Linked DNA regions of Notamacropus eugenii. Each later gene encodes a partner of the first gene's protein in a complex. Links are inferred from orthologs where the notes say so. Each region holds a gene or a part of one and is shown in the gene's direction. Other genes may lie near its edges. The genes, in order: CYBB, CYBC1, NCF2 and RAC2.

Region 1 (7,894 bases):
ATCACCCTAAAGGCAATCCTTGCTCACAAATGTGCCTGGAGGTGTAGATGAATCACAGATGAGAAAGGCAATACTTTGAAGCATCAGATTAAGACAGAGGAAACCAGGTGCCCATCAACTGGTGAATACTTGAATAAATTATGATATATGAATGTAATGGAATATTATCATGTCATAAAAATCATAAAAGCGATGATTTCATAAAAGTCTGGGAAGAATTCTGTGAAATGAACAGGATTAGGAGAATAATTTATACAGCCATAACACTGTAAAGGAAAATAGCTTTGAAAGATTTAAGAACAGTGAGAGATGCAACCATTTAGCAACCATTCCAGAAGACCAATGATGAAGCATGCCACTCACTTCCTGTTAGAGAGGTGAAGGACCTAAAGTACAAAGTGAGACAAGCATTTTTGGACACGGTAAATGGGTAAAAATGTATCTTTCCTTTTTTTTTGCTTCATTCTTCATATTTATTAAAAAGATAGTATTTTTCTTTTTTTTAAATTGAGGATGATTTGGAGGAGGGAGGAAGAAGCTAGTGAGAATGTTGCCAAAAAAGGGGAGAGAGAGAGAGACAAAAAGAGAGACAGAGACAGAGACAGATAGATACATAGAGAGAGAGAAAAAGAGAAAGAGAGAGAGAGAGAGAGAGAGAGAGAGAGAGCGCCACAGGGAGGGAGGGAAGGAGAAATGGAAGGAAAGAAGGAAGGAAAAAGAAAAAAGAAGGAAGGAAAGATGGAAGGAAGGAGGGAAGGAGAGAGACACTGAAGTATTTTCTAAATGCCCAGAAGAAGATAGAAAGATTTTCTGAAGGGAGCAAAAAAAAAAAAAAAAAGACATTTATGAGTTACTTCCTATTTACAGAGTATTGTGCTAAGCACTGGGAACAAAAATACAACTAAAAAAGAAATAGTCCTTGCCCCCAAGGAGCTTATAATCTAAAGAAACACAGTCAAGCAGGGCAGCTTTGAAAGGAACAAGTTGAATTTTGTATGTTATGTATACACGTACATATACACATACACATAACACACATACCTACATATTAAAAGCCAACTGTATGAAATAGAGATTCATAATTTCACATATAATTTTGTTTTTCTGTTCCACACATGTTTTATTATGGAGGATTAATTTTTTTGTGTTAAGTTCAGGATACAAAATACATTTTTAAAAAATAGATGATAGTGGCATGGGGAACAAGGACAAGAGGGCAAAAGCGCAGGATGTTGAAGACAGAACAGTGTGGAGAGGACTTTTATCACTTGAGCACTGGAGAGAGAGAAGTCTTGCTGACTGAAGCTGAAGGCATCTGGGGAACTGTGTTAGAGAACTAGGGCAGGAACAGGGGCAAGTGTCAAGCTCATAGACCAGGGACCCTGGGCAGCCTTCTTGAGAAGGACATTTTCCCTGCTTAGTTTGAGGAGCCAGTTCTATTTTAGCAAGCCCACTGGTGTCAATCAACCCTAGGGTCATGCTATCTTGAGTCCACTACAAATTCTTGTAACTAATGAGTAAGATTATAAAAAATAGAATGTTTAAAATAGAACTGGAGGTCTGAAGATGCCATTCAAATTTTTTTGCTTCTATTTGCTTTACTATATTGCTTTATAACCAGCAAGTAAAATGTAAGAATAGTATGTCACTGACTCTGAGCTGGTTCCTCCTGTATTGAACGTCAGCTTTCCATTGATTCTTTCTATCTGAAAAGGATGGAGCAGCTGGATCAAGATCCATCACCTTCCTCATCCCTCTTTCCTTTAACTGTAAGATCCTGACCCCCTTTAGAACCAGAGAGCTGTCCAATGGGCAGCAGACAAAGCTCAGTCTTAATGCTTTGCCCTTCCTCCCACAATTCCTCACCTTCCTACAAAATGTCACCGAGAGCCTTAAAATCGCCAGCAGTCATTGCAACAATCCCTCTACTTGTGATGGTGTCTGGGTGTCCAGCTCCACCCCTCTGCAGGTTGGTCCCCTATTATCTCTCAGGTGGAGAGATTTTGCAACCTTGCATCTATGCTCAGCCAGAGGACCTACCTCTGCTCAGGGGAAGTTGCCTCAGTCTGCTGGGAGGGCAAGAGGGAGTCTTGCTTCCTGTTGTTTCTCTAACTACTTAACTGCTTTGGTGGGGAGGGGTGGGGAATTTCCAACTGGAACCTCAAACAGGGTAGTGCCCCCAAGTAGCTCTGACTGATGATGGATCTTGATCATGTTCATCAGTGAATGTCCCTAGGATAGGGACTAGACATGAGATTTGATTGGTATAGGAAACTCTCAGGTAAGGAAATTCCATCTAGCAACGTAAGTTGACAGCTTAAAGAGTTCCCTACAGCAGAGAAGTCAAATGTGTGGCCCACTGTCTATATGTGGCCTCTCAAGTGTGACCTGAAGCAGATGAAAATGCAATTAAAAAATATTTAACAAAATACAATAAAATATAGATAACACATTTTAAAATTAAGTCAACATATAGCAGCAGGGATATTTATTTAGGGATTGTTTTTGTTTAGTCTTGTCTGACTCCTGTTAGCCCATGGACCATAACATACCAATACTGTCCATGGGGTTTTCTTGGCAAACCCCTGGAGTGGTCTTCCATTTCCTTCTCCTGTGGATTAAAGCAAACTCAAGTTAGGTGACTTGCCCAGGGTTATACAGTGGGTCTTCATCAGAGGCAGGATTTCAAAGCAGGCTTTTCTAGCTTAAAGACCAACTCTCTCTCCATTATGCTTTAATGCTTCTCCAACTTAGGTATAGGAAAGCAAAATGTTTTCATTCTTATTACTCTGCATCACTGCTTCCAGCTCAGAAACTGAGGGACATTCTCTAATTTGGAAAGATGTCCTTGTTTTCATACCTCTAATTGTTCTGTCTTTTTCTGGGAGTGGGGAGAGAGGAGGCAATCTGGGTTGGTGACTTGCCCAGAATCACACACTGTCTGAGATCAGATTTGAACTCAGGTCCTCCTGACTCCAGGATCAGTGCTTTAACCACTGCACCACCCAGCTGCCCCTCTGATTGTTGTTTCAAACACAAAACCAAAACAAACAATGAGGAGGAGTAAATTGTTCCACGAAAAGACTTTTCTTGATTTCTTTTCCCCTAAAAATTATTGGGGGCAGGGGGCTTGCAGGAATTATAATAGGAGAGAGAAGAGACAAATAATGTACCACTTCTTGAATCTATGGAAGGGAAGATATTTATTTAATTAGGTGCCAGTTTGATACTTTTTCATAAATCTTTTTTTTTGAGGGGACAGAGGCAAGCTAATTTTTTGTTTTAATGTGCTGGTGAGGATAGAGTAGGTTCTCTTTCACAAGAACAAAGTGATTTGGGGACAGAGGTAATAGCATTCCCAGTTAATGTTATTATCCCCCCATGCCCCCTATATCTCATTCTTTCCCCCTCCCCAACACCTCTTCTCCCATCAGCCTCCCCATTTCGCTCCCCTATCCTCACTACTTTTATACCCATGCCATTAGTAGTTAGAGCCAGTTCTGAGCATTTAGTGGACTGCAAGTTCAATACAAGTTAAATGTATTATGGCAGTCAAAAAAAGCTAATGTGCTCCGGAGGCAGCATGGTGTAGTGGATAAAGAACTATACTTAGAACTGTGAGGCACTGGGTTCAATCCTGCCTCTGACTAGCTGTGTGACCCGGGGTAGATCATTCTTCCTCATCTGTCAACTGAAGAAATTGAAGCCGATGACCTCTAAAGTCCCACCCAATCGATCATCCTCTGATCTCAGGGTGCCCTAAGAGAGATAGAATGTGCAAAATTAGACTTGGAAGATAATCCCAAGAGACTTAGCCATGCCACATTAAGAGAACTGTGTTCAGCATCATACATCAGGAAGGACAGGGATGAATTTCAGAACATTCAGAGGATGGCAACTAGGTTGGGGAAGGACCTTCCTATCATGCTGTAAGATGACCAGTTGGACAGAAGACTCAATTTAAGTGGAACATGATAATTATCTTCAGATATTTAAAGGACTGTTGTATGTAATAGGGCAGCTAGGTGCCTCCATAGAAAATAGAGTGCTGGGCTTGCAATCAGGAAGACTGATACTGATGAGTTCAAATCCAGCCTCAGACACTTATTAGCTATGTGGCCCTGGGCAAGTCACTTAATCCTGTTTGCCTCAGTTTCTTCATTTGTCAAATGAGCTGGAGAAGGAAATGACAAAAAACTCCAGTATCTTGGACAAGAAAATCCCAAATGGGGCCACAGAGGCGATGACCATGAAAACAAACGAAGAAAGGGCTAAACTTAAAGTAGAATGAGCTACCTTGGGGAGGTAGTGGTTTCCTTGTCCCTTGAAGTCTTCAAGCAAAGGTCTGTTCCTTGGAAATGCTGTAGGCAAGATTCTTGCTCCAGTGTGGGTTGGCCTAAGTAGAGGCCCTGTAACAGAGACCTGGCCTCTGGATTCTGCTGAGACTTGGAAAGCCCTTGATTTTGTCACATGGTTCTCCCTGATCCCCCTTAGCACCTACATACTAATTCTAAAAGAGAAAATTCTGATCTTTAGGCCCAGCAATTTGTCAAAAAACCTTTCTAAGTGTACCAAACTTCCTCCAGCTCAGCAATTGCAAGAGTAAAGGCAAAAGTTACTATATTAATTTAATGTGCTTTTTACTGAATCTAGAGGAAGGTATACTTGAACATTTTATGTGTTCCAGTTAAGGATCAAATAACAAAAAAGCCCTTGGTGCATAAAATACCCATGAATTCGAGCAGTAGTCACATTTTAAAATTCAAACATTGCTTCTCAATTTAAGAAAATGATTCAGTCATATCCTTTTTAAGATTGCAACATTTTTTTTTAAAAATCCACTCTTAAAAAAAGTCTCTGTGGTTTAAACATTTAAAGTGAGCAGGGAAATAATTCTTTATTGACCAATGGTTACTTAACTTCGATAGTAGAAAAGGAAATAGATTTCTCTCTGGGGTTACTGTTTTCACTTCCTCATGGGAAAAGGGTACATAGTGCAGAAAAACGGTGCAGTCAGGGCATTCATCTCAAGCAGCCATGGGTAACTGGGTAGAGAACGAGGGTCTCTCCATCTTTGTCATTGTAAGTATGAAATGAAATATTATTCATTTGTTTTTGTTTTTTTTGTCTTTTACTTGTTTTTGTTCTTTCTGGAAATGGAAAATAGCCAAGGGTCCTCCTCCTTCTCCCCACCCTCAACATGTTCACTAGGTCTCCTCCAATTTGCTTTATCGGTACATGTCTTTTAAAATACCATTTCCATCACTGACATTTTTTCATGGAAATTATATATTTGGGGAGAAGGGTAATTTTTGCCTATTTTGGAAAATGTCTTTAAGTCACTTCAGTAGTTAAATTAATGGACATTTCATGGTGGAAGAAAGCTACATTTCTTGCTAATGAATCCAGGTTCCAGGTTCTCATGCTTTTTCAAATAGTGTCTCTATGGCTATTCAGGATGTGTTTATAGTCTCTTAGAAAAAATAATGAGTAATTAAAATGCTCATGTGATCTTCCAAAAGTAGGATGGAATTTTCACTAAGGAGAATTTTATTTCTCATGTGAATTGCTACTAAAGTACTCAAAGTTCCTAGCTTCTTTACCCTCCCACTCTTCTCCTCATTTTTTTTGGCTTTACTTTGTCTGTTTTAAACAGAAGTAATTTCTGTTTAAAAACAGGTTTATAATAACCTAAAAATAAGTTTACGATAACCTAAGCCAAATAAATTAGCCAGGCTGAAAAATTTCTCTTACTTTCTGAATACATGAATAGTAATGGCTGGAATTTATATAGGCTTGCAAAGCATGTGAGAAGTGAGATTTGAACCTAAGTATTTCTGAATCTATGTCCAATACTCAAGCCACCATGTCAGCCTGCCAAAGGGAGGTTCTATAAACCATAGATTTGTCTATACCACTGGTTTTTTTTCATTTTTAAATAGGAAGCATTCTTTCTTGTCCTGTATAAAATATGAAAATGATCAACTATTCCCTTTAAATGAAATTCATGATACCAATTAATTACAAAAAAAAAGAAAGAAAAAAGATAGCTCTGGGCAAAAAAATGGAAGCTAGCATTTTTGGTTCTTCCTTTTGAATGCTTTGAAGTCAATTAGACAAAATAGAATTTCTAATGGATAAAAGCAGGTAAAACAGGTTTCCTGAGACCTTGGACCTGAACCTTTGAGTTCTTGGGGATACCGAGTAGCATTGACTATGAATTACTTTCATAGTAGCCGGGTTCCCCTTAAACACACTCCTCAAAGTGCTATCCATCCAAGTGAAAGACCTGAGACATAAGGTACAGTCACAGTGATGAATGTAAAAAAAATATAATAATTGACAACTTGGGAAAAAGAGAAGTAACTTTAAATACTTTTTTGAAATGTAGTCTTTTGACTTGTATGATCCATTAGTCTTTTATGTTTTTTTAATAGCCTTGACTGCTTAAAGGCAGAACAGAGCAAAGTAGATCTGTGGCAGCCCCAGCTGAGCGGGAGCAGCTGAGGGAACCTGAAACAAAGCCCCTTCCACCTCCCCCGGAGGCTGGGTCAGTTCTGACCTGACCCAGAAGAGCTTTTCATATTTTTATCCCAGGACTGGTCACCATTCCCTTTCCCACTGAGAACTCTGGGGACCATCCATGCTTTCTATATTTCCTCTTCAAAAAGGAAATATAATGTGTGGGAAAAGCATGTGGGACCTGGGGAGAGAAGATGAAACAGATTCTTCCTTTTCTCTCTTATTTTCTTCATGAGCTACTTGGGCCAGACCCCACTCCCTCTAATGTAAGAGCTACGCCTAGATAAGACAACAGCCACAGAGTGGCATCTTTAAAAAAAAAAGTAGCTCCATCTTAAAAGTTTTTATTTAAATATGTATCTAAAGGCAGAGCCTGGAAAAAAGGAAAGGGGATTTAGAAAAAAAAGAACGGTTATAAGGAAAGTTGGTTAAGCACAATTAAAATGACCATAGGTTATAAGTAAGGGTGACATAAGAGTAGAATAGGAAAGTAGGTAAGCAAAATGGATATCTTTGGTCGTTAAGGAGAAGAAAGAGAAAGATAGAAGGGGAAGGTGAACAAGGAGGCAAGAAGAAGGTAGAGATGACTTACCTTCATGTAGTGCTTTTGTCAGATTTCAGTCATGTCTGACTCTTCATGACCCCATTTGAGGTTTCCTTGGCAAAGATACTGGAGTGGTTTGCCATTTCCTTCTCCAGCTCATTTTACAGATGAAGAAACTGAGGCAAACAGGGTTGTGACTTGCCTAGGGTCACACAGCTAAATAAGTGTCTGAGGCCAGATTTAAACTCAGGGAGATGTATCTTCCTGACTCCAGACCTGGCACTCTATCTACTAGACCATCTATCTGTCCCTGTGTAGTGCTTTACAATTTACAAAATGCTTTGCATTTTATTTTTGCCCTCAGAACAGCCCGATGAAATAGGTGGCACAAGTTTGAGTCATCTTATTTCATAAATGGGAAAGGAAAGAAACAGGCATTAGGCTAAGCATTTTACAAATTTATCTCATTTGATCCTCAACTTCATGAGGTAGGTACTATTATTATCCCCATTTACAGCTGAAGAAACTGAGGCAGAGGTTAAGTGACTTGCCCATGGTCACACAACTTGTGTTTGAAATGGCATTTGAACCTGAGTCATATTTTCCCTACCCTAGGTCCTCTATCCATTGTACCATCAGCTAAGGAATTTAAGTCTAAAAGAGATCAAGGGGTTTGCCTAGGAATGTACTGTTTTAGTAATCTTGTTGGTACAGTTCTAGGGGAAAGCTTGTGCTACCTTAGCAGCCCCAGTCCCTGGGGTCTCTGGGAATCCTAATCTGTAGTTGACAGGTAATGGTCATAGGGGGAAATAAAATTCTTCATGGTAA
Region 2 (7,129 bases), on another chromosome or scaffold:
TATATTCACCTGTCCCCTTAGGGTTGAGAACACAGTTTTCCCAGTCCTGCCAGTGGTATGATTATTCCTATACTGTCCATAATTCCAGAGTATCAGATACCAAATGCTCAGAGTAAATCTTCCCAGCATCTGAAGCATCTTGTCCTCTCTACTATTCCCCTCTTTGAACTAAGAGGCCATCGTGTCAGGGTCCTGCCAACTATATCAGATGCTACGGGCAGGTTAATAAATCTACTATTCTGGTACAATAAGCATTCAGGTAAGTCCAGTGCATTTATTCCTTTACTCAAAGAACTGTTGTTTAGTTTATCAGTCATGTTCATTTCTTTGTGACTGTTTGGGGTTTTCTTGGAAAAGATACTGGAATGTTTTGCTATTTCCTTCTCCAACTCATTTTACAAATAAGGAAACTGGGCAAATAGATAGTAAGTGTGTGAGGCTGGATTTGAACTCAGATCTTCCTGACTCCAGGGCTGTCACTCTATCCACTGCATCACCTAGCTGCCCCTTACTCAAAGAATAAAATATATGAAAGAATATATGGTTGGGTGAAACTTTTTGTGTCTTCCTTTCCTCCTGCAAAGGCACACTTGTGACCCCAGGGTGTGATCTCATAGTGTTCTGTTTACTTCTAGCTGGAGTGTCTTCATACCTTAGAACCTATTTTCTCCTATTCCCCCACATGACCACTGATTAAGTCCAGCTCTTTGGGGATGTATATCTTGCCTCACTGCTCATCTTTTGTGACTGGAGAGAGGTGATATCATGCCACTTCTCTTCCTTTCTCTGGGGAAGGGTTCTATTTACACCATTGCTCTGAATTATTGTCATTTATTTTCTACAGATTATGTTACTCTCCTACTCAATAAATTTTTTTTTTAAACATTAACCAGCTGAGACACAGATAATATTTATGTTGCTAACTTCACAAACTCTTGACCTAATTGTCTCCATAGTATTACTAAGAATTAAAGGACCTTAACTTATTGTTGTAGGTCTAAAGTCCTATGCCTAATAGCTTAATTTTAGACAACCTCGGATATTCCCCTACCCATAATCTATAATTGAATAGATCTAGTATTAAGCTTATAAACCTTTTGACTACAGGAAATTGCCACCAATAGTAAGGACATTGCAAGGATACAATATCTCCCCAACTTCATGTCAACCCCAGGCAGGATTAGACTATCTACTTGCATTCAATCAGGCTTAAAGTCTGCCAGGTGTCAGTGGGGAAATTGAGTCAGGAGAACTCAATAAATTTTAATACTCCCCTTCTATTAAATTTTTAAAGCCTTTTACAACCTCCACCCATCCTACCTATCCAACCATGGTGTACAATACCCTTCCTTCTAGCACTCTATAGTCTGCCAGACTGATCTTTGAGGCAGCTAGATGGTACAGTGGACAAAGCACTGGGCCTGGAGTCAGGAAGACCCTATTTCAAATTCAGTCTCTGTCACTTACTAGTTGTGTGACCCTGAACAAGTCACTTATCCTTTCTCTCTCAGTCTCTTCAACTGTAAAATGGAGACACTAATAGCAACTCCCTCCCAGGATTGTTGTGAGATTCAAATGAGAAAATATTTGTAAAGCACTTAGTATGGTTACTGGCGCATAGTAGGCCCTTATTTCTATTCCTCACATGTGACATCATGCTTTTTTAGTGGCCAATGTCTATACTTGGAATGTACTCCCTTCTTACCTTCAGCTCTTTAAATCCCTTGTTTCCTTAAAAATTCAGCTCAAATACCACCTTCTACATGAAGCTTTATTTGATCTCCAGAACTGCTAGTGCTTTCCCTATAACAATCAGCTTTTGTATATTCATCTGCTTCCCCCGAAAAACTACAAGCTCCTTGAAGGAAGGGAAATTTTTAATTTTTGTCTTTGCATCTCCACATGTAGGTGGTGCAACACCATGTTCTACTGTTGTTGTATGTCCTTTACTCTTAAAAAGAACCATGACATAAGGGGGGTTATGCCAGGACATGCAAGAGAATTGGATTTAAGTGAGGGAGGGCAGTGCAAAATCAACAGCCTCATTTTCTTCTCTGGAGCCATCTGGGACTAGTGGTAAGATATAGATCAGGATGACCGGAGATGGTCCTGGATGCAGTGGGAGATCTTGGCCTTTTAAAGCTAAGGTCTTTAACAGGTCTTAGCTTGACTGAAGCAATCAATCCCCATTCAGTGATTGAGGTTAGATAAAGATGGAAGCAAAAGATAGTCTAGTTTGTCTTCCCAAAGAGATTGGTCTGGGAGGGTAAGACCTTCAGAGTTTCTGGTCAGAACAGAAATAACTGTTATTTACAATCACTCTGAGCCATCAAAACTCAAACAATGAGCCAGTGAGGCTTGGGCTGGGACCTGGTTGCTTAATAAATGTTTGTTGACTGATTTGTTCTATTTAGGAAAGATGATACTGGGTTTAAAGGTAGACAGAACCATACCAGCCTTAGGCTATCTCATTTGGGTCGATTTTATATATACAAACACAATCCATGAGGGCCATACTACTTAAAGAAGCCTATTCACTGACCAGGTGTATCTCACCCAAAATGAGAATCTGATAAGACTTTACCCTAGAATGGCCAGGCTCTCACATGGCAACATGGCCTATCTCCAAGAGTCCTGATGAGTATCTGGCCACTAGATCCAGATATCTCTGGAAGAGAAAGAGAGGCTGATGACCTCGCATAGCCCTGCCTCACTCAAATCAAAGTCAACTGCAAGTCAAGTCCTGACGTCACAGTCCTCTTCCAGAATGAAGGACAAACACAATCTTATATACTTGGAATACATGAATACATGAATAAGTCATCGAATATGGAAATGAATCAAAAGTTTTGTAACAGTCAGTAAAGGTAGTATAGATATTATATAATCCTTTTAATTGGCTTGCACCATAATGAACTGTTTCTTTAGATACCCTTTTCCTCCTTGGCCAGTACACTGTCTTTCTGTATTTACAAAATCTGGGAGTGATCCAAGGTATGAATACAGAGAATACATAAACATGGATATGGCTTACATCTGGAAGGATCTCTCATGTTCTTTTGGTAATTAATATGGGATGCCTTCTGTTACCTGAGTTGGATCAAAGTTGACTTCAAGAAGCTGGTGAGTGTACCGAGGAGAATTCAGGCACGATTGTGAACCTTAATTAAGAACCTTATCTACTTTGCAGCTCTCCAGCTTTATTTTCTAATTGTTTTTTTTTTAAATCACCCTGCTTACTTATTATGACTGTTTCAACATGTAGCTAGACTTGACTTAGGTTCCAGGAACAGTAACTTTCTTTTATCTCACCTATCTGTCTCTTTTGGGGCTGATTCTGGGGCTCCGGACACGAAGGCACTTAAAGGTCTGTAGGATGACCAGGAGGATCTCATCTTTTATATTTATGGTGTTTTACCATTTTCAGAAGGTTCTATACATATTACCTCAATGCCTTCCCACCATTTGAGGTACAAAGGGAACAACATCCTTTTACTAAAAATGAGAAAACAGGGCTACAGAAGGCCTGTAGAAGGCCACACAGATCAGAGGTAACTGAAGTTATCTAAGTCTTTCCATATAACACCATTTTATGAAAATGGTCATTCATGCTCAGAAGAAAGAGGGATCTGAAGGCACCACCACCGGACGGGGCGATGAGACTGCATCCCGCCCCCTCTCCTTTCCCCTGCACTGTGCTCGCAGAGAATAAAAGCGAACCTTCTGCAACAAGAAACTCGGGGAGAGACCATCTTAACTACGACACCCCAGCGTCTTTCCCTGCTACCCGGCCCCTGCTTCCTGGACTTCCGGTCTAATTCCTGTGAAGTCGGCGAAGCCATCTTGGAATTGGGCAAAGTTTCCATGCACTGGCTCCTCAGGGCCGGGAAGGGTCTCTGACAGTTGAAAGGACACCTTCTTCTGTCCTGTTTACTGAACCTCCAGCCCGTTGAGAGGTTATTTTTCCTCCGTACATTTTTTTATTTTTTGCCAGCTTTGGCATTCCGTCTACGTCAGCGGCCTGTAAAGCGGTTTTTGCCAGAATGCAAGATGGCCACCCCCGCGCCGGTCCTCCTTCGTAACGGAAGTGGAAGCTCCGGGCCGCTCTAGGGCATGAATCCGGAAGTACGCTTCCCGCCCAGGCTTCATTCAAACGTCTGCCTTCGTGCTGGTTCGTGGGGCACCGCTTCGGCTGCCGTCTTCATCTAGGTAGGCGCGTCCTCCACCCACCTCCTCCGCCGCCCTCCCTGCCATCTTGGCGGGCACTTACCGAATTCGCGGAGCGCTCGGGCCGCCTCTCCTCCGCGGGCGTCTGCCTCCGGGCTGCCTTCCCTCCGCAGCCGTGGGGGACGCTGGGGAAGAGAGAGGGCAGGAAGAAGTCCTGACCGGGCTGCGGGGGATGGAGGGCGGCGGGGGACGGGACCCGGCACCCCTGACACCCCAGGAACTCTTGCTGGTTGGTAGGGGGGAGCCAGGTGACCGTGAGATCCTGGAGCCGGCGAGGCCAATCCCCTCCTTTTACGGGGGAGGAGAACGATGCTGAGAGGGAGAGACTTGGCCAGGACCGGCCGGCCGGCGTCGGAGCCGGGGTTCGCGCTTAGAAGCGTTTTGTCCTTTTCCTTCTTTGTGGGTGTCAGCGCTGCCCTTCCTCTTTACCCCCTCCCCATTCCCTTAGGAAATAGTTATTATGTCTATAGAATATAATTATATACATATAATTATGCATAATAGAATAGAATATAATTATACATAATATCTAATATAATCATATATAATATATTTTACATACTTATATATATTATATAATACATATTATACATAAAATATGTATTATATATAATATGTATTATATATAATTATGTAATAATATGATACATAATTATTCATTATTTCTGAAGGCCACTAGAAGTGGTGTCCTCTTACACAAAAAGCTGCCCTGGTCCAGTTCACATAGCCCACAGGAACCAGAGTTTTGAATCAAGGAAGTCCTGCTCAATTCGTAATAGGAAAAATTCCCTTCAATCCATGACTTTTTCCGGATACTGATCTTTGCTGACATCCATTGTACTAATAGGTAAATTAGTGTCAGTTATTAACTGTGATGGATACGTTAACAATTATGACTGAGTAGGTAGTTTCATAATTCTGTAGGAAAAAATACAGCTTTGTAAAGGTTCTCCTCGAAGGAGGTGTCTGCCAAACATATCTTAAAATCACAGCAGATTCTATGACAAATGTAAACCTGAGTTTCAGCATCAAGGTAGACAAGAAACACAGAGATATACACTCACTTAAGGAATTCACCAGTGTCACACAGAGTCCAAATAGAAGAGTTCCTTATCATCCATAAAGTTCTCCAAATGTTCCTGCTTTGTTTTTTTTTTCTTTTTCACTTTACGATTTATTTATTGAAGACATTTAAATTCTCCCTTCCTTCCACCTCTCCTCTGCCTGCTGAGAAGGCAAGCAGTATTCTTTCAGTTTTTCATGTGAGATCATACAAAACATATTTCCATATTAGCTATACTTTTTTCAAAAGCAAGAAAATGAAGTGAGAAAATGATAAAAATTCCCCTGCTTTCAGATGACATCATACTAATTCTTTTGAGCCCAGAAAGACTTTTAGCACTTCTGAGAAAGGTACTTTTGAGTGAATTTCTTCCAGAATTTTGAAGTCGTGAAGGAAGAGAAAAACTCACCTCATTTGTTTAATGAACATTTGGGGAAACATTCAAAATCTCAAGATTATATTCTTCATAAGGGTCCACATAAATTTTCTGATGCTTCTACTCACTCTCTTAAACTTACCGCAGTATGGTTTGTGACTGTTACTCAACTGAAACTTCTCTCTACACACTTAGCAATGGTTGGCTATTTCATGCTTTGTGTTTATATCCCCAAGGCCCAGCATTATGCCTTATTTAGTAATTGATTACCTCTTAACTCTGACTGTCCTCCAAGGGTCAACCCTAGAGCATTTGTATTTGATGCTGGAAGCAATTGGAAGCAATAGGAAGCCCCTGAAGTTAATTGAGTGACACAGGAGTGACAGAGTCAGACCTGAGCTTTAGGAAAATCACTGATGGCTGAATGGAGGATGTATTGAAGTAGAGAGAGACTTGAGACAGGAGACCCATCATTAGGCTATTGGAATAGTCCAGGCATGAAATGGCAAGGGCCTGTGTTAGAATGGTGGCAGTGTGAGAATAGATGGTAGCATATCTGAGAGATGTTACAAAGGTGAAATTGATAGGTTTTGGCAAACAGCTAGAATATGAGAGGTAAGAGATAGTGGTGGCAAGAGTCAAGAATAACTCCTAAGTTGCAAGCTTGATGGACTGGAAGGGTGGTAGTACCCTCTGTGTGTGTTTGTCCATTGCTGAAGAAGATCATGCCATCAGAGAAATAATGACATGACTTGCACTTGACTTTGTTTTGAGTGAGGGAGGGCTGTGCAGGTCACCAGCCTCACTTCTCCTCCAGAGCCATCTGAATCCAGTGACCAGATAGTCATCAGGATGACTGGAGATGACCCAGGATGAGGCAGTTGGGGTTAAGTGACTTACCCAAGGTCACACAGCTAGTGAGTGTCAAGTGTCTGAGGTGAGATTTGAACTCAGGTCCTTCTGACTCCTGCCCTATCCACTGCACCATCTAGCTGCCCTTATTACCCTCTATAATAATAGGGAAGGTGGTGGTGGAAGGTTTAGGAGAAAAGATAATGAGTTCTCTTTTGGACATGTCTAGTATGAGATGACTGTTGGAGATCCAGTTTGAGATATCTGAAAGGCAGTTGGAGATGAGAGATTGGAGGTCAGCTGAGAGTTTTGGGCATTATGGTAATTAAATCACGGTTGTAGTGAGATCACTTTATTAAGTAGTGTAAAGAAAGAAGAGAAGACGACCCAGGACAGAATCTTGGGGAACACTTATGTTTAGAGGGAGTGATTGGGATGAGGATCTGTGAGGACTGTGGTCATGTAGGTAACAGGAGAACCAGGAGAATGGTGTCTGTTTCCCAAAAACGTAGAGAAAAGAGAGTATGAAGGAGGAGACAGTGATCAACAATGTCAAAAAGGCAGCTAGGTGGCAAGTGAATAGAGTGCTTGGCCTGGAATCAGGAAGACCT
Region 3 (7,087 bases), on another chromosome or scaffold:
TACCATCGGCTTACAGTAAGCTTGTGGTCAACTAAAACTTACCACTTCATAGATCTTTTTTCATATGAACTGCTGCCAAGGCAGGCATAGCTCCTTTAGATTTATGGACCCTAGAGGAATGGCAGAGTTATTAGAAAGGATCTACAAAAAGGCTATCAGCCATGGGCATTTTGATCTTTAACAAATAAACCTTCTGTTGACTGAATATGTCTCACATGTATATGTGTATATGTGCTCTTTTAAAAAATTATAATTAATCTTTTTTATATCATCTATATTTTGTATTATGCTATTTGAATATGTGTACATGCTGTTGTGATAAAATATAAATTTATTTAAAAGCTATTATGTCTTTTCTTAATCAACTGATACTGAGTATATATTTTATCAAAGGGATCCTCACACTTGAAAAGATTGGGAACCACTTTACTAGGCTTTGAAAGTCAGTTTATTTCCCAACATCATTCCTTATTGAGTGTCTCTGCACCATTTATGGGTGGGGGCTAGGAAAGAGTAGAGAGAAGAGAGATTCCAGATGGGAGGGCAGCTGACTAAAAAGAAGACTTCATTCTTCTGGTTCAGGCAGAGGAGAGGAGAAAGGAGGAGAGGGGAAGATGGGAGAGGGGAGAGGGAAGGGGAGGGGAGGGAAAGGGGAAGAGAGAAGGGAGGGAGAGAGAAAAGAAAATAGAGATATGTTGTTTCAGTCTTGTCTGGCTCTTCATGACCCCATTTGGGGTTTTCTTGGCAAAGATACTGGAGTGATTTGCCATTTCCATCTCTAGCATATTTTACAGATAAGGCAAACAGGATTAAGTGACTTGTCCAGGGTCACACAGCTAGTAAATGTCCAAAGTCAGATTTGAACTCAGAAAGATGAGTCTTAGAAGGGGTCCATAAGTTTCACCAGACTGCCCAAGGGGTCTGTGACACAATAAAAGGCTAAGAGCCCCTGGTTGAGTCTAATCCCTTCATTTTATAAATAAGGAAACTAGACCCAGAGAGGTAAGTGCTAGAGTTGTAATCCAAATCTCCTGTCATCAAATCTAGCACTCTTTCTACCACACAACATGGTGGTTGAGAGTTCCTAGGATTTATGTATTTTGGTTCCATAAGTTTCCCAGCTTTTCCACAAACACAGAAAGAAATGGGGTGTACTTGCTTTATAACTGACCATATTCATCCTACAGGGACCTTAGTATATTGTAGATAGTAAAACCCCATTAATAGACCTGGAATCCCTTAATTCAAAATTAATGAGTTATTTGTTCAGGAATTGAGCAAAACACTAACCTTTCTGTTTAATTATGATAAATTTATTTCCTAAGCAAAGGAATAGTGTGCTCAAAACTGTAGAAGATAAGCTGTTTTCAACTTTTAAAACCAATTTAGCAATGCTTATTTGCTTATAGTTAATATGCTCATTATAAGTTATTCTTATTTATTTATTAAATCAGTTTCCTCGTCTGTCAAATGAGCTGGAAAAGGAAATGGCAAAACTCCAGTATCTTTGAAAACCCCAAATGGGGTCATGAAGAGCCAGATATGACTGAAACAAGCCAACAACAACAAATTCCCTCAGTTATTTCATTTCAGTACTGTTTTGCTATATTGATCTTTTAAGGACAATAGGAAAAAGATTCAGATTTTCAAGGACAGAGTTAACTTCATTGGCCATCAATGTAAATGGCTCTATAAACTTTCCAATTCTTCTCCAGTGGCTCCAATTTTTCTTAGTAGGGGGATAGGAAATTTTAATTTGTAGTTGTCATGCCCTTAACCCTGACCACCTGATGATCAAGATTTTGCAAGTATTCCCCAGAAAAGGAAATGTTAGAAATAGAATGAGGGAAGTAATCTCAGAAGTGAAGCATGATCCTATGACCCTATAACAAATTACAGATGACCTTTGCCAACTGTGTGATATGACATGAGCCAATCACTCCCCAATACTACAACTTGTACCCAGTCCTTGGGTAGCTTGGTAGCATAGTCAATCACAAAGGACAGCAATTAGATAGATAGATAAACAGACAGACAGACAGACAGAGAGACAGAGAGACAGAGAGACAGACAGACAGACAGACAGACAGATAGATAGATAGATAGATAGATAGATAGATAGATAGATAGATAGATAGATAGATAGATGATAGATAGATAGGTGGATGGAGTGGATAGATAAGAAAAAGAAAGAGAAAAAAGAAATATGGATAGATAGATGGATGGATGGATGAATGTATGTATGGATGAAACATTTGTTAATCACTTAATATGTGCAGGTACTCTGCTAAGCAAATAAGACAGACCCTACCTTCAATGAAACTATGTTTTAATGAGGGGAGACAACATATAAAGGGAATCTGGACATCAGAAGAAGGGGGTACATGAAGTGGCACAGATGCCTGCATCTATCTGTTAGATCCTACTATCCTGGGGGGCACAGTCCAAGGCTCCAGTGAAAGGGGAATCAGGTTAATGGCTAGAATGCAGACAGCCAGGTATGAAGATAGCTGAGATGTACTTATAGAGTAGAAAGAAGGCTGACTTTGGAATAAAAAGTCTTGGGTTCAAATTCCAGCTCTGCCACTTAACTACCTGGGTGATATTGGGTTGGTCACTTCATATCTCCAGACTTCATCAACTTCCTCATCTAAAGGAAATTGGACTAAGTGGCATGCAAAGCCCCTTCCAGTTCTAAACCTAGGATTCTATGAAACTAGGAGTGGGAAACATCCACAGAATGATGGAAACTCATTAACAGACACAAAGAAAAAGAAACCCCAAAACACCTGCCCATACTGCTGTGCTATCTCTTGAAATTGTCTTTCTCATCTCCTCTCCCTTTATTTCCAAGGATCCTATGGTTCTAATGCAATATTAGGGAAGACAGTTTTTGAAACACTAGTAGCAAACATTCAACATCTCCCTGTTTAAATGTGCTCATTGAAGGCAGTTTGAATATGAGCAGGAGTCCAAGGTAATCTCCAAAGCTCTTGTCTTTGTCTAGTTCCTTCTCCCCTCTGTGGTTCAGCTTTCCTTGCTGGACTAACAACAGTCATGTTTAGCTTCCAGGATTTCCATAAACATTCTGAGTTTTCATAAAAGAGAGCAGAGCCTGAAAAGGCTCTAATATCATTTTATGGAGAGAGCTAAAGAAACTATTATTCGTTGGAACAAAGAATGACTGAAAATGGGCATCCCAAGCTGAGATGGTGATGCTCTAAAGATGGAGGAAGTTCCTTAGAATCATGGATTGCTTTTTTAAATTAAATTTCATTTTATTTTTAGATCTGCATGCTATGCCTTCCACCTGTACACTCCTCCCCATCCCACTGAGAAAGTAATAAAACTAAAACCCCCTTTATAAGCATGTATAATCAAGAAAAACACATTTTTGTATTGAGCATGACCAAAAAAAGGTCTCTGTGCTCTTGGTCTATCACCTCTCCATCATGAGGCTGGCAGCAGGTTTCGTCCTGAATCTCTGGAATTGTAGTTGGTTACTAAGTCTTTCAAAGTAGTTTGTTGTCATCATATAGATTGTTCTGGGTTTGCCTACTTCGTTGCATATCAGTTCCTATGATTCTTCTCTGGTTTCTCTGAAACTACCCTTTTCTTCAGTTCTTATAATATAATAACATTCCACCATATTCCCGCACCATAACTTATTTAACCATTTCTCAATGGATGGGCATGCCCTCAAGTTACCAATTCTTTGCCATCACTAAAAAAAGCTGCTATAAATATTTCATGAATATGACTTTTAAAAGAGCTCAGGGGAACTTTTGACTGAAGTATCACATCCAATCCCCTCCTTTTGCAGATGGGGAAACTGAGGAAGTAACTGATCCAAGGTCACACAGCTAGAAAGTGACAGTGCATGGCCCAGAAACACTAGTAAAAAGGTAAGACTTAGTTGGAGGGACTGATCATGGCAGAGCAGAATAGTTTAGAGGAACTGATCCATTGCAGTCAACACTTGTACTTCCTCTCTTTCCCCACCCCTCCCCTCCTCTCCACCCCCACCTCCCTTCTTCCCCTTGCCTCTCAGCAGGGTTACTAAAAGATGAGGACACTTCCTGACATGCTTACAACACAGAGAAGTCAGCTTGGAGAAGACTAGATCTTCTTCTGAGACCCACTTGAAAGGAAAAAATAAGACACTTGGTCCTACCCAGTCAAGAATAAGGGAGCCGAAGAGAGACCGTAGGGAACAGGCCCTGGTGGGAAAGACTTCCTCTCCATTGAGTGCTTTCTCTTCTGCCCCTGTTCTGCCTAATCCAAGTTGCTCTTTGGGCACAGTCTGGGTCTTTGCCTCCCAATTCTCATCTGGCCATGTCCTTAGCTGAGGTGATACGCCTTTGGAATGAAGGGGTGCTGGCAGCAGACAAGAAGGACTGGCATGGAGCCTTAAAGGCCTTCACTGGAGTTCAGGACCCCCATTCCCGGATTTCCTTCAACATAGGCTGTATCTATATGATTCTGGAAAACCTGCAGGAGGCAGAAAAGGTAAGTGAAAGACTCTTACTTCTGCTTTGTGCTTTCGTGGTATCTTCATGCACAATCATGTCTCCTGATGTGGGATGGTCTCTTCTCTTGCCCACCTCCAAATTGGATCCATCCATTGAAATCTGTCCTCTCTAGGAAGCCTTCTTTGACTATTCCCCCTTCTCTGAACTCTTCTTGTGCCACTTGGAGCAGACAACTTAGCATATGTTTTTAAACTATCTCATGTTAATCTCTAATTCATTTGACAATTAAATGGCTATCATATACCAAACACTCTACCAGGATGAGAGACCCACACAGTTTAATCTTTCATGCCAATCAGTACCATCTTCCCAACTAGATAATAAGTTGCCTGAGAAGATGGATGTGAATCAAATTGTGAAAGATTTTAATGTTATATGTAAATTATACTACCTCCTCCACAAAGTCTTTCCTTGTAGTTATCTATGTATGTGTCATATTCCTCTACTAGAGTAAACTGAATACAGGCAGGTCTATGTTATCATGGAGTGGATGAAAGAGTTTAGTCATGAAAGATCTGGTATTTACAGATAGTAAATGGACATATTGGTATGGATGAATATATTTGACTTCTCTCAGTTGTTGGCCCAAAACCTTAACTAGGATAGGGCCCCTTAGGCATTTGCCCCAGTGTGCCATCTTCCAGGAAAATATACTTTTGGGGGACAGGGGTGCGCACATATTTTCTCCATACTGCAACCTGGAGACAAGCATCCCTATGTCTAATGGAGACCTGTGTTCTGAAACTTTGAAGTCTTTGTTGGCTTCAGGATAAGGTGGAACCCGACTCCCTCACCCAGTACCACCTTCAGGAACATGAGGCCGGTGATCTTCTTGAGTCTCATAGCAACTCATAGAATTCATATGAGCTCCACAACGGAGGGAGAGGAAAATTGATTACCAGCTTGGGGTGAGGGGATAGAGAGTTAGGATCAGCAACGGTTTCAGGGAGGAGCTATCTCAGTGATGTCAAGCATTAAATTTATGCACAGATAAGTAGGTCAGGTAGTCAAACAAGTGACCCCAGAGGCAATCCACAAATAGATTCTAGTTCTGATATCTATATGTGCTGGTTGGAGATAAGAATATAAACAGATATGCTTCAAGGATAAAGAGTGGATTTCTTAGTAAACGGCAGTTGGTCCAAAGGACAGATAGGATGCACAAGAGATAGTGAGCCCTCCTGGAAAAAAAGTGTGTAGACAAGGAAAAAGTAGAAAGTTAGGGAGAGAATACAAGGACATCTATACTTACTGGTGATAGTTTTAGAGTTTACCCCTATGAGGTGCTTTTTGTCAAAAGCTTAGCAACAATGGAGAAGGTTGGAATGGAACGTTTGTGTGTGTGTGTATACATATATGTGTGTATACACATGCATATATACATATACACATGTGTATATATGCATGTGTGTACATATATGTGGATACACATGCATACATATATGTTTGTATGTGTATATATCCCTATTTTCCTTCTACTCCTAGTTTTAAAAAATCTTGAACTTTATTTCTCCTCTTCCTCCTCTTCTTCCTCCACCTATTGTCCTTCTAACTCCTTGTCTTTCTTGATATTCCCTTCTGACTTTGTGCCTTTGTCATCCCCAGAGGTAGCCATAAAATCTGGCTCCCTTTGCCCAGCCTCCAGATAGCTCTCTTCCAGACACCAGCCATCCTCAGCTCTCAGCCTAAGGTGACTGCCTTAACTCTTATCACCAGCTTTTTACTCTTACAAACCTATACACAAAAACACTTTCTCTTTCTTACAGGCTTTTACTGGGAGCATAAACCGAGACAAACATTTAGCAGTGGCTTATTTCCAACGAGGGATGGTCTTTTATAGGATGGAGAAGTAAGTCTTTGATATCACACAATGTTGGGAATGACATGAGGGTACCAGGAGGGATGTGGGTTTTGCTCTGTGTTCACTAAAAGTTTTTCCTAGTTTTATATCAAGAAGTTTGACTCTAGACTGAATGAAATATGAGTAATTAAGCAGAGTTCACATGTCTATAGTTTTGCAAAGTCCTTTCTTCATAGTAACCCTCCGGGAGGATAGGTGGTTCAAGAGTTATTATTTCTATTTTACAAAAGAAGAAACTGAGACTCAGAGAAGTTAGATGACTTTCCAAGATCATATAGGCAGTAAGCATCAGAGCTGGGGCTCAACATTGGGGCCTGCTAAATTCAGATTTAGTATCCTTCCCACTACAGCCTGCTGCCTCTCTTGTCATTATGCAGTAAACTCAGACACGGTCAAACCTCGACAGAGCATATTGTGATAGATACTGCTGCTTCAGACACGGGAAGACCGGACTCCAAGTCTCTCCACAGATATATGCTGTCTGAATGACCCCGAGGCAGCTCACCTACCCTCTCAGTAGTAACCTAATTCAGTTCTCTAACATTGTAAATTAGAGGAAGTTGCTTATCTGGATTATTAGAGGGAGCTTTCTTACTGGGAGTTTCCTATGCCAAGGAAATTATAGGACCAATAAAATAAACAAATAACTATTGAAAATATTTCTATAGGGCTAATATCAATGCTATGGTAATAG
Region 4 (7,860 bases), on another chromosome or scaffold:
CCCATGAACATTATGCTTTCCCACTGACAATCAGTTTAAAGCAGTTAGCCATCCGGATCCAATTATCTTTTGGAAATAGGTATTTGTTAAGGTGGACTGGTAAGAACAGTTGGCATAAATATTCCCTCCCCAACCCCCAGTGCCCCTGCTCCAATCAGGGGCACACTCTCCCCCAAGAACACCATGAGACCAGAGGAAATTGGCTCAGGATATAAAAAACGAGGCCCCTTCTCCCTCCGTAGGGTCCCCCACAGTGTATCTGTTCTGACCTCAGCTCTGGATGCAGACTTTGTCAACGTCAAATACTGGTGTTCTGGAGAAGTTCAATATCTACCAGCCTTTAGAAGTTCAAAAGGTTTTCCTTCAGCTTGCAAGGTGAGGGATGGGGAAGAAAGAGCAGCACTTCTCTCTCTCCATTCTTCCCCCAGATGATTTCCTCAGCTGGGCTTGGTTATGCCAGTTTCTCATCTAAGCTGGGTCTGCTATTTTGTACAAAACTCACAGGCCGTGTCTGAGTCTCTTCAGTCAATCCTCAAACCCTTCCCCTATTATCATCTCATTTCATCCAGTAGCTTTCATTCTCTCCAAATTGACTAAGAACTTTTTGCCCTTACTTTAATGCCTGCTGATTAATCATGTTCTCACTTGATTGAGGCAGTTACTTTAAGCAATGGGGTGGGGTGATTAAGTAAGCCAAAAGCCTCCTGTCCTTATAGAAACCTATACACAAAAGAAACCAGATGATTTGGAGGGTAGAGGAAAGGTTTCACATGAGCTGAGCTTGAAGGAAGCTTTGAAGATACCAACCACGCAGGGCTTGCCCATCAACTCTGAGTCTTGTCCACATCTTTGCTTAAATATGTCTATAGACTGGCTAAAAACTGTAACACTCAGCCCTCCCTGCCCCCTTTCCAGATGCTCTGCTAAGTTGCTGGGGAGGCAGAAAAAGACCAGACAAGATCAAGAACTGATGAGTCTTTTGGGGTTTTTTTGTCTCTCCTACAGCCAACGGATTCACCACCAACCTCCCCATGCTTAGCCTGGCTGGGCCTTGGAAAGGAGAAAATGTCCATTGCAGGGATTTGATTTGAACCCTTTCTGGCTTGGCAGGACCTTCTAGAGAGTGGGTTCTCTTGATAATGGTTGATAATAGGGCCACCTCTGTGTTATAATGAGGCATCAGAGGAAGATGTGTGGAGAAAGTTTACCATTGGGAATCGCCAGGTCCTCTTCTGTTCTCCCATTTCAGGTCCTCATCACCTCTCACCTGGCCTATTGTAAAAGCTTCTTAATTGGCTTCCTTCCTTCCAGTCTCTTCCCACTCCAGTCCATCCTTCCTGAACTGCCCACATATCTGACCCTATCCCTTCCCTGGTCAATAACCTCCAGTGGCTCCTTATTACCTCTAGGACCAAAGCACATCCTTTCACTTTGGATTTCCAGTCCAACAGAATCGGGCCCCATCCTGCCTTTCTAACTTATTACCTTTTTCACATGTTATCCCCTCAATGATCAACCTAAATTGGCTTCATCTCTGAGTTTCTCCCCAACTTCATTTAGATTTAAGATCCAATTCTACTCCTCACTATCCATGTGATCTTGGACAAGTCATTTTACCTGTATAGGAAATACTTCAAATCATTTACAGATGGGAGGACTTTAGTCTATTCCCCTGATTTTTAGGAGAAAAGTGAGGTCAGAGAGAAGGTTTTGTCCAAGGTCACATAACTGATAAGTAGCACCACTGGAAGTAGGGATGGTGGAAATCTAGTTTGCCTGGGGACTCCTAGGAGGGGGTAGGAGCAAGACACAAAGGCACCTTTGTTTCAGCTGATTCCCTTCCTGGGAATGACATCATATCTCCTCTTTGCCCCTGAGGTCTACTGTTATTCAGTGGAAGAAGGCGCAGCCTTGGCCACAGAATTCCCTAGGAACTTTGGGTTCATCCTTCGTTGCTGAAGAAGACCACGCCATCGGAGAAATGATGACATGACTTGCACTTGACTTTGTTCTGAGTGAGGGAGGGCTGTGCAAGGTGACCAGCCTCACTTCTCCTCTGGAGCCATCTGAATCCAGTGACCAGAGATATTCATCAGGATGACTGGAGATGACCCAGGATGCACTGGGAGACCTTGGACCCTTTAGGCCAAGGTCTTTGCAGGCACTCACTTAGGGTGAGGCAACACCCACTCATTGAATAGGCCTGTTTAAGAAGTAGCCAGGGCATGGTCCTTTTAATGAAGTCAAGAAAAAGGAAGACATCAGGCTGGGTGGGAAACAGCAGCAGTTACTATTGATAATCACTCTAAAATCAGGAGGGTCCAGAAGAGCCCTTCCTAGGAACCTAGGAAGGAAAGCAATAGATTGAGACCTGGAAGGGGCCTTACACATCACCCAGTCCAACTCCCTCATTTTCCAGATAAGAAACCTGGCTGTCTCCTCTAGGGAGTCTGCTCTGATTCCCTTGGGCAATGATGGCCTTGGCCCTCAGACCTCACAAAGCTGGTTGTTTCTGCCCTCTTAAATATTCTTATATAATGTCACTTATATGTGTTAGTGAGTTGCCTGGGGAACACCAACAATGAGATGAGATACACAGAGCTGTTGCCTCTTTCATTTCCCAACTCTGTCCCTTTGCTTCTGCTGGTACTCTTACCTGAAATGCCATCCTACCTTCCCTATCCAAACCTACTTTCTTTCCCATCTCCCTGAAAAAATAGAATATGTCTTATCTAAACTCGATATTTCTGTTAATACCCCATCTGTACATAGAATATAATGAGTAGAAATGATTTTGCTAAATTAAGTTGGATTGAGTTATCTCAAGCTACCTTAAATCTCTGGATCTGTTTCCTCATTTTTAAAATGGGTGAGCATTTGGGTTTTAAGATTCTATGAAGGCCAGGCAGTCTGGGAAGGGTCTTGCATTTGGTACTGCTCCTTCTATTTTTCCACTGCCCCTGTCATTTATGACCTGGATGACTTTGAGCAATTGATTTCGCTACAGTGACCTGAATTCGCTCCTTTGTAAAATGCGGGAGTTGTACACCATGATGTCTTAGGCACCTGCCACCTTCATATCTTTGAGCCTATGACTGGAGTTTGAATCTTGGATCTGTGACTTTGGGTTACTCAGTTTGGGTCTCAGTTTTCACAGATGTATCATAAGGGGGTTGAACCAGATGGCTTCTGAGGCCTCTAGGTCTGTGGCCCTGTGATCCAAAAGAGTCTCAATGTCCTCATCTGTAAAATGGAAGACAGGATGAGATGATCTCTGAGATTCCTTTCTGCTCTGGTTTATGATCCTGGGCATATAATACATGGTGATTAAACAAATCAGCCAATCTGGTGGCCCAGGCTCAGAACTGTCACCAGGAATTTTTACCTGGGAGCAAACATGAAAACTGGGAAGGGGCATATGGGGGCAGGGCATGAGACAAGCCAACCACAGGTGCAGCTGCATGGGGGTAGGACAGACTCCCCTGAAGCCCCTGAAAGATTAAAGTAGACCTGGGAGAGTGGCTACCACAGTGACTGGCCCCTGGGGGTGGCACCTGGAAGCCATGAACCAGCCAAAATCCTTCAAGCTAGGGATGACCACAGCACTTGCCATGAGAAGGAAGCTCATCCCACTGGATGTGAGCACCCTTAGGTACAGCTCCATCTGCCTTGTATTAGTTATGAGTTTGCTGGGTCTCCCATCACTTTGCCCTATCTGCTTTGGGGAAGTTGTCTTGGTATACTGGAAGGAAGTCTGGATTTGGAGTTTGAGGCTCTGTGTGTGTTGACTCGTTCCTTGCTCTATCTGGGCTTCAGTTCCATCTTCTATAAAGTGACAGAGTTGACCCAACTCTGAATTCTATGACCCTGTGATCCCTCTTTGCCTTGTGGTGGAAGGTTGAGGTTCCATTGGAAAGAGAAGCTGTGGATGTATTAGGAAGCATTGGTCATGGTGCCATAGTGGAAGGGGTCTGGGAGGTCATCTGGTTCACCCCCTTCCTCCCCACCTTTTACAAATGAGGAAACCAAAGTCCAAGAAAGAGGAAAGACACTTTTGGTATTTCATAAAATCTCAAAATCTCTGAATTGGAAGGACCCTTAGATGTCATCCAGTCCAAACTGTAACTGAACAGGAATCTCCTTCAATCTATCAATCTACAAATGTTTATGAAATGCAAAGGACTGTGCTTGATGCTAAGAGCACAAGGATAGAGAATAAAACAGTCTCTCTGTGAGGGAGAAAAAAATATATAAATATAGCCACTATAACCAGGGTTAGTAGGTAAATGTTTAACAATGGGCTTTCGGGGTGGGGCAATGCAGGCCACACTTTTACTTTTAATCTGCCATATTAACTTTTTCTTCATTACTTTCTTAAGTCTAGTCATCATTAAAACAATAAATGAAGACCTGATTTGTAGCATTTGGGGATTTCCCAGGTGTAAATGCTCACACCGAAATTTTAACAATCAACTTGCTGTTTGAGCTAAAGAGAATGAATACAAAGTAATTGGATACAAGATCATTTGGTAACGTAATTTGGGGAGCTCAGGACAGGCTTTCTGCAGAAGATGGTGCTGAAACTGTATCTTAGAGAGGAGAGGGATTCTCTAAGTTGGAGGGAAGAAGGGTTTGCCTTTCCTGCATGGCAGGTGATAAATTAAAGCAAGGGAACAGGAGTGCTAACCTGGGAGCCTGCCTTGCAGGCTCAGCAGCGACATCTCCACCATTCACCATGCCGGGGTAACCTTCTTTTAAGGCACCCTAGAGCACTGGGGCTCCCAGTCACCCAAAGGGGCCCAAACTTCTCTTTCAAACCACATGCCCCGCCTCCTTTGAACGGTGGAGCTGGGGGAGGGGGAGGCAGCAGATTGAGTAAGTCAGTTCCCCTTCCGCTTCTCCCCACTGCTTTCCAACGACCTGCCAATCCACCAGCCTGTTAATTATTATTTTTACTCCTTCTCTCTGTCTCTCTCCCTGGGAGGCCGGCTTCCCTCCTTCCTTGACTGCCCGGGAGGAGTCAGCCTTCTCTTCTTTCCCTGTCTCAGCGCCTCCAGGAGCCCAGAGAAAATGCAGGCTATCAAATGTGTGGTGGTGGGAGATGGGTAGGTAACTTGGTTTGCTTCTGGACCAGGTGGTGGGGACATCTTTTGGGGGGGGGGGGGAGGTTACCAATGTTTAATTGTTTTCTCTAGTTGGAGTTTTTTCCTATTTCTCTTGCCAACTCCATCCCCAGTCCCTTTCTCTTCACCCCAAGAGAATTCTCTGCCTTCTAAAACTTGGGATCTGATGGGGAACAGCTGTAGAGTCAAGTCTTCTCTCAGTGGTGGTTAGAAGTCTTCAACCTGGGTGGGACAGGGTGACTTGGGCTATTTATTGTGTCTCACCTTCTTCATCATCCTCTGACCTTAAGTCTGCTGAAGAATTGGGGCTGGGATGAGGTGAGGTGGGGTGAGATTAGGCTAAGATTCTGTACCTAGACTGAGCTCAGCATCATGGGCATTGGTGCATCCTTGAAGCAGCAATGTGGGACTGGGAGGTGGCTTCCCTTCTTTTATCTCTGGGAAAATCTGTCCAGGGCCAGGGTCATGATGAGACCTCTACCTGGTCCCACCACCAGATTGGGATCTTGCTGGTCTTCAGAGGGAATGTGAAGGTTGGTAGTAGTGGGAGAGGCTTGACTGGTATGAACATTAATGTGGGAAGAGGTTGGAAGTCATGGAAATTGCATTTGGCTCAAGTCTCACAAAGTACTGGACCTGGAGTCAGGAAGATCTAGGTTAAAATCCTGCCCCTGACTGTTATTAGCCGTGTGACCTTGGGCAAGTCACTCTGAACCTCTTCTGCAAAATGAAGGGGGTAGACTCTGACCTTTGGGGTCCCTCCCAGATCTAAATCCATGATACTATAATATTTCTAGGCCTCAGTTTCCTCATCTGTAAAATAAGGTTAGGTTAGATGATCTCTATGGCCCCTGGCAGTTCTAAGTATATAAGCTATTTCCTTATGTTCTCTGCTACTTGCAAGTTCTTCAGTCTTGGACAAGTTATTGAAATTCTCTGAGCTTGTTTGTTCCTCTACAAGATAAAGAGGGGGTGGAGGGAGGACTAGATGGTTTTAATGTTTCCTTCAGATACTAAATTCTCTGACCTTCCATCATCCTCTACTAGGATTCAGGCTCCAACTCTCCCTGGCATGACCTTGAATAAGTTGCTTCCCCCTGAGTCTCCATTTTCTTTTCTGCAAAGTGAGCACTCCATCTCCAGGGGCTGTTCTACATCTAAGTTGCATGTTTTGTTTTGGTTTTTTTTTTCCAAGAGGACCAGGGTGTGACATTTTGTATGGGGAAGAGATAGGGAGAGACAAGAACCAGAAAGACTCCACGTAGGGCTGGGAGAAGCCTTAGAATGTGGAATGGCAGAGCTGGGAAGGCCCTCAGAGCACAGAAGGCCAGAGTTGGGTGTGGGGAGTGGGATCCCAGTTGGATGAGACTCTAGAAAATTGAATGTCAGGGAAGAGAATATTGAAATTTAGAACTTGAAATGTCAGAGCTGGGAAGGTGAGGGATGTGATGGCCAGAGTAACTTATTCAAGGTCACACACACACACTCTGGCTGAGCCTACACCTTGAAGCAGGTAACTAGTTCAAGGAGACACACACACACACACACACACACACACACACAGACACACACACACACACACACACACACACAGACACACACACACACACACACACACACACACACACACACACTGAGCCTATACCTTGAAGCAGGTCTGCTGACCCAAACACCAGGGTACTTTCCTGAACCTGCTGGGGAGGATTTTGTCCACATGACAAGCACCCTTGGCCCTGGGACAGTTAATGCAGCTAAGGTGTTATCTACACTGATCCCTTCCCCCTCCTCTTCCCACTCAATACTTCTCTGACCTTGTTATTGAGCGGAAGTTGGTGAGCCAAGCCCTCTTCTTATTCAAAATGGGGGGAGGGGGCCCCAGGGGAGAACAAACTGAACCAGACAGGGATAGGAAGAAAAGGAAACTTAGTAGCAAATTGTTCAATACACAGGATGTTAAGGACCCAAATGTGGAGGCTGGTCTTTATACCCCACACCTGATCCAGGGAACAACCCTCTCCCCCTCTTTCATCTCAGGTTGTGCTTTCCAGAGCCTTCTTTCCCCTCCTGTCCCCTATAGCTTTGATTCCGAAGTGAATTGTCCCTGAGCAGATCATAGAAGTAGGAGACTTAGACCAAAGGAGAAGAAATGAGAGAGACAGAAAGGGGCTGGGAGAGATGGGCAAAGGAAGGCCCTGGGAGTGGGGGTTCAGATACTTATGTAATCTTTAAATCATAAAACTTTAGAATGCCAGAACTAGGAGGGACCTTGGAACATGGAACATCATCGATGGCAGGGGCCTAAGAACAGGGAATGTCAGAGCTGAGAAATACCTTAGAATATGCAATGTCAGCACTGAGAGATACCATCAGTTCTAGATCTCTCATTTTACATATGAGGACACTGAGGCCCAGAGAAGGGAGGTCTCACACTGAACTTGTGGCAGAAGTGAGACCAGACCCAGGACTCCTGGCTCTCAAGTGGTTTTCCTGTTCCATTACTGGAAGGAGGAGGAGGAATATTGGGGCCCCACAGAAAGTATGGTGAACTTAGAGTTTGTTATACCTGGCCAGCCTGGTGTGATTGGCTTGAGGGGGTTAAGGAGTGGCTAGCCAGAAGGCCCTAAAAGGGAGGGCTGCTTCTTCACTGTAGATAGGAAATACAAAGGGGGAAGCACTAAACTTCTGTCCTGTCTCTTCTTCATTTCAGAGCTGTGGGTAAAACCTGCCTCCTCATCAG

The links.
Region 2: the proteins of CYBB (region 1) and CYBC1 are in contact, whole or in part, in a cryo-EM structure (PDB 8KEI), measured with the Homo sapiens proteins. The link is inferred for Notamacropus eugenii from reciprocal best matches to the Homo sapiens genes CYBB and CYBC1. Residues at the interface, in NP_000388.2 of Homo sapiens: Trp28, Asn74, Leu75, Leu76, Ser77, Phe78, Leu79, Arg80, Gly81, Ser82, Ser83, Ala84, Cys85, Cys86, Trp206, His210, Phe212, Pro266, Met268, Trp270, Lys271, Ile273, Tyr280, Tyr324, Phe326, Lys328, Leu335, Glu336, Trp337, His338; in NP_001028218.1 of Homo sapiens: Arg22, Leu26, Ala37, Ser41, Gly42, Asp43, Trp47, Phe50, Tyr51, Phe57, Gln61, Asn62, Glu64, Lys77, His97, Asp98, Gln99, Val100, Val101, Val102, Leu103, Arg108, Ser111, Glu115, Val117, Arg118, Tyr119, Phe120, Arg129, Ala131.
Region 3: CYBB (region 1) and NCF2 share a complex: the UniProt entries of both Homo sapiens proteins name them as parts of the phagocyte NADPH oxidase complex. The link is inferred for Notamacropus eugenii from reciprocal best matches to the Homo sapiens genes CYBB and NCF2.
Region 4: CYBB (region 1) and RAC2 share a complex: the UniProt entries of both Homo sapiens proteins name them as parts of the phagocyte NADPH oxidase complex. The link is inferred for Notamacropus eugenii from reciprocal best matches to the Homo sapiens genes CYBB and RAC2.

Annotation. Positions count from the first base shown.
Region 1 is NC_092876.1:437,657,370-437,665,263, reverse strand, and holds the start of CYBB (NADPH oxidase 2), read left to right. Parts: upstream 1-4,883; 5' UTR 4,884-5,037; coding exon 5,038-5,082; intron 5,083-7,894. UniProt on the Homo sapiens protein: Catalytic subunit of the phagocyte NADPH oxidase complex that mediates the transfer of electrons from cytosolic NADPH to O2 to produce the superoxide anion (O2(-)).
Region 2 is NC_092873.1:72,177,789-72,184,917, forward strand, and holds the start of CYBC1 (cytochrome b-245 chaperone 1), read left to right. Parts: upstream 1-4,123; 5' UTR 4,124-4,209; intron 4,210-4,270; exon of another isoform or gene 4,271-4,356; intron 4,357-7,129. UniProt on the Homo sapiens protein: Functions as a chaperone necessary for a stable expression of the CYBA and CYBB subunits of the cytochrome b-245 heterodimer. Controls the phagocyte respiratory burst and is essential for innate immunity.
Region 3 is NC_092873.1:461,483,859-461,490,945, forward strand, and holds the start of NCF2 (neutrophil cytosol factor 2), read left to right. Parts: upstream 1-4,069; 5' UTR 4,070-4,335; coding exon 4,336-4,509; intron 4,510-6,298; coding exon 6,299-6,381; intron 6,382-7,087. UniProt on the Homo sapiens protein: Subunit of the phagocyte NADPH oxidase complex that mediates the transfer of electrons from cytosolic NADPH to O2 to produce the superoxide anion (O2(-)).
Region 4 is NC_092874.1:294,384,666-294,392,525, reverse strand, and holds the start of RAC2 (ras-related C3 botulinum toxin substrate 2), read left to right. Parts: upstream 1-4,846; 5' UTR 4,847-5,070; coding exon 5,071-5,105; intron 5,106-7,830; coding exon 7,831-7,860. UniProt on the Homo sapiens protein: Plasma membrane-associated small GTPase which cycles between an active GTP-bound and inactive GDP-bound state.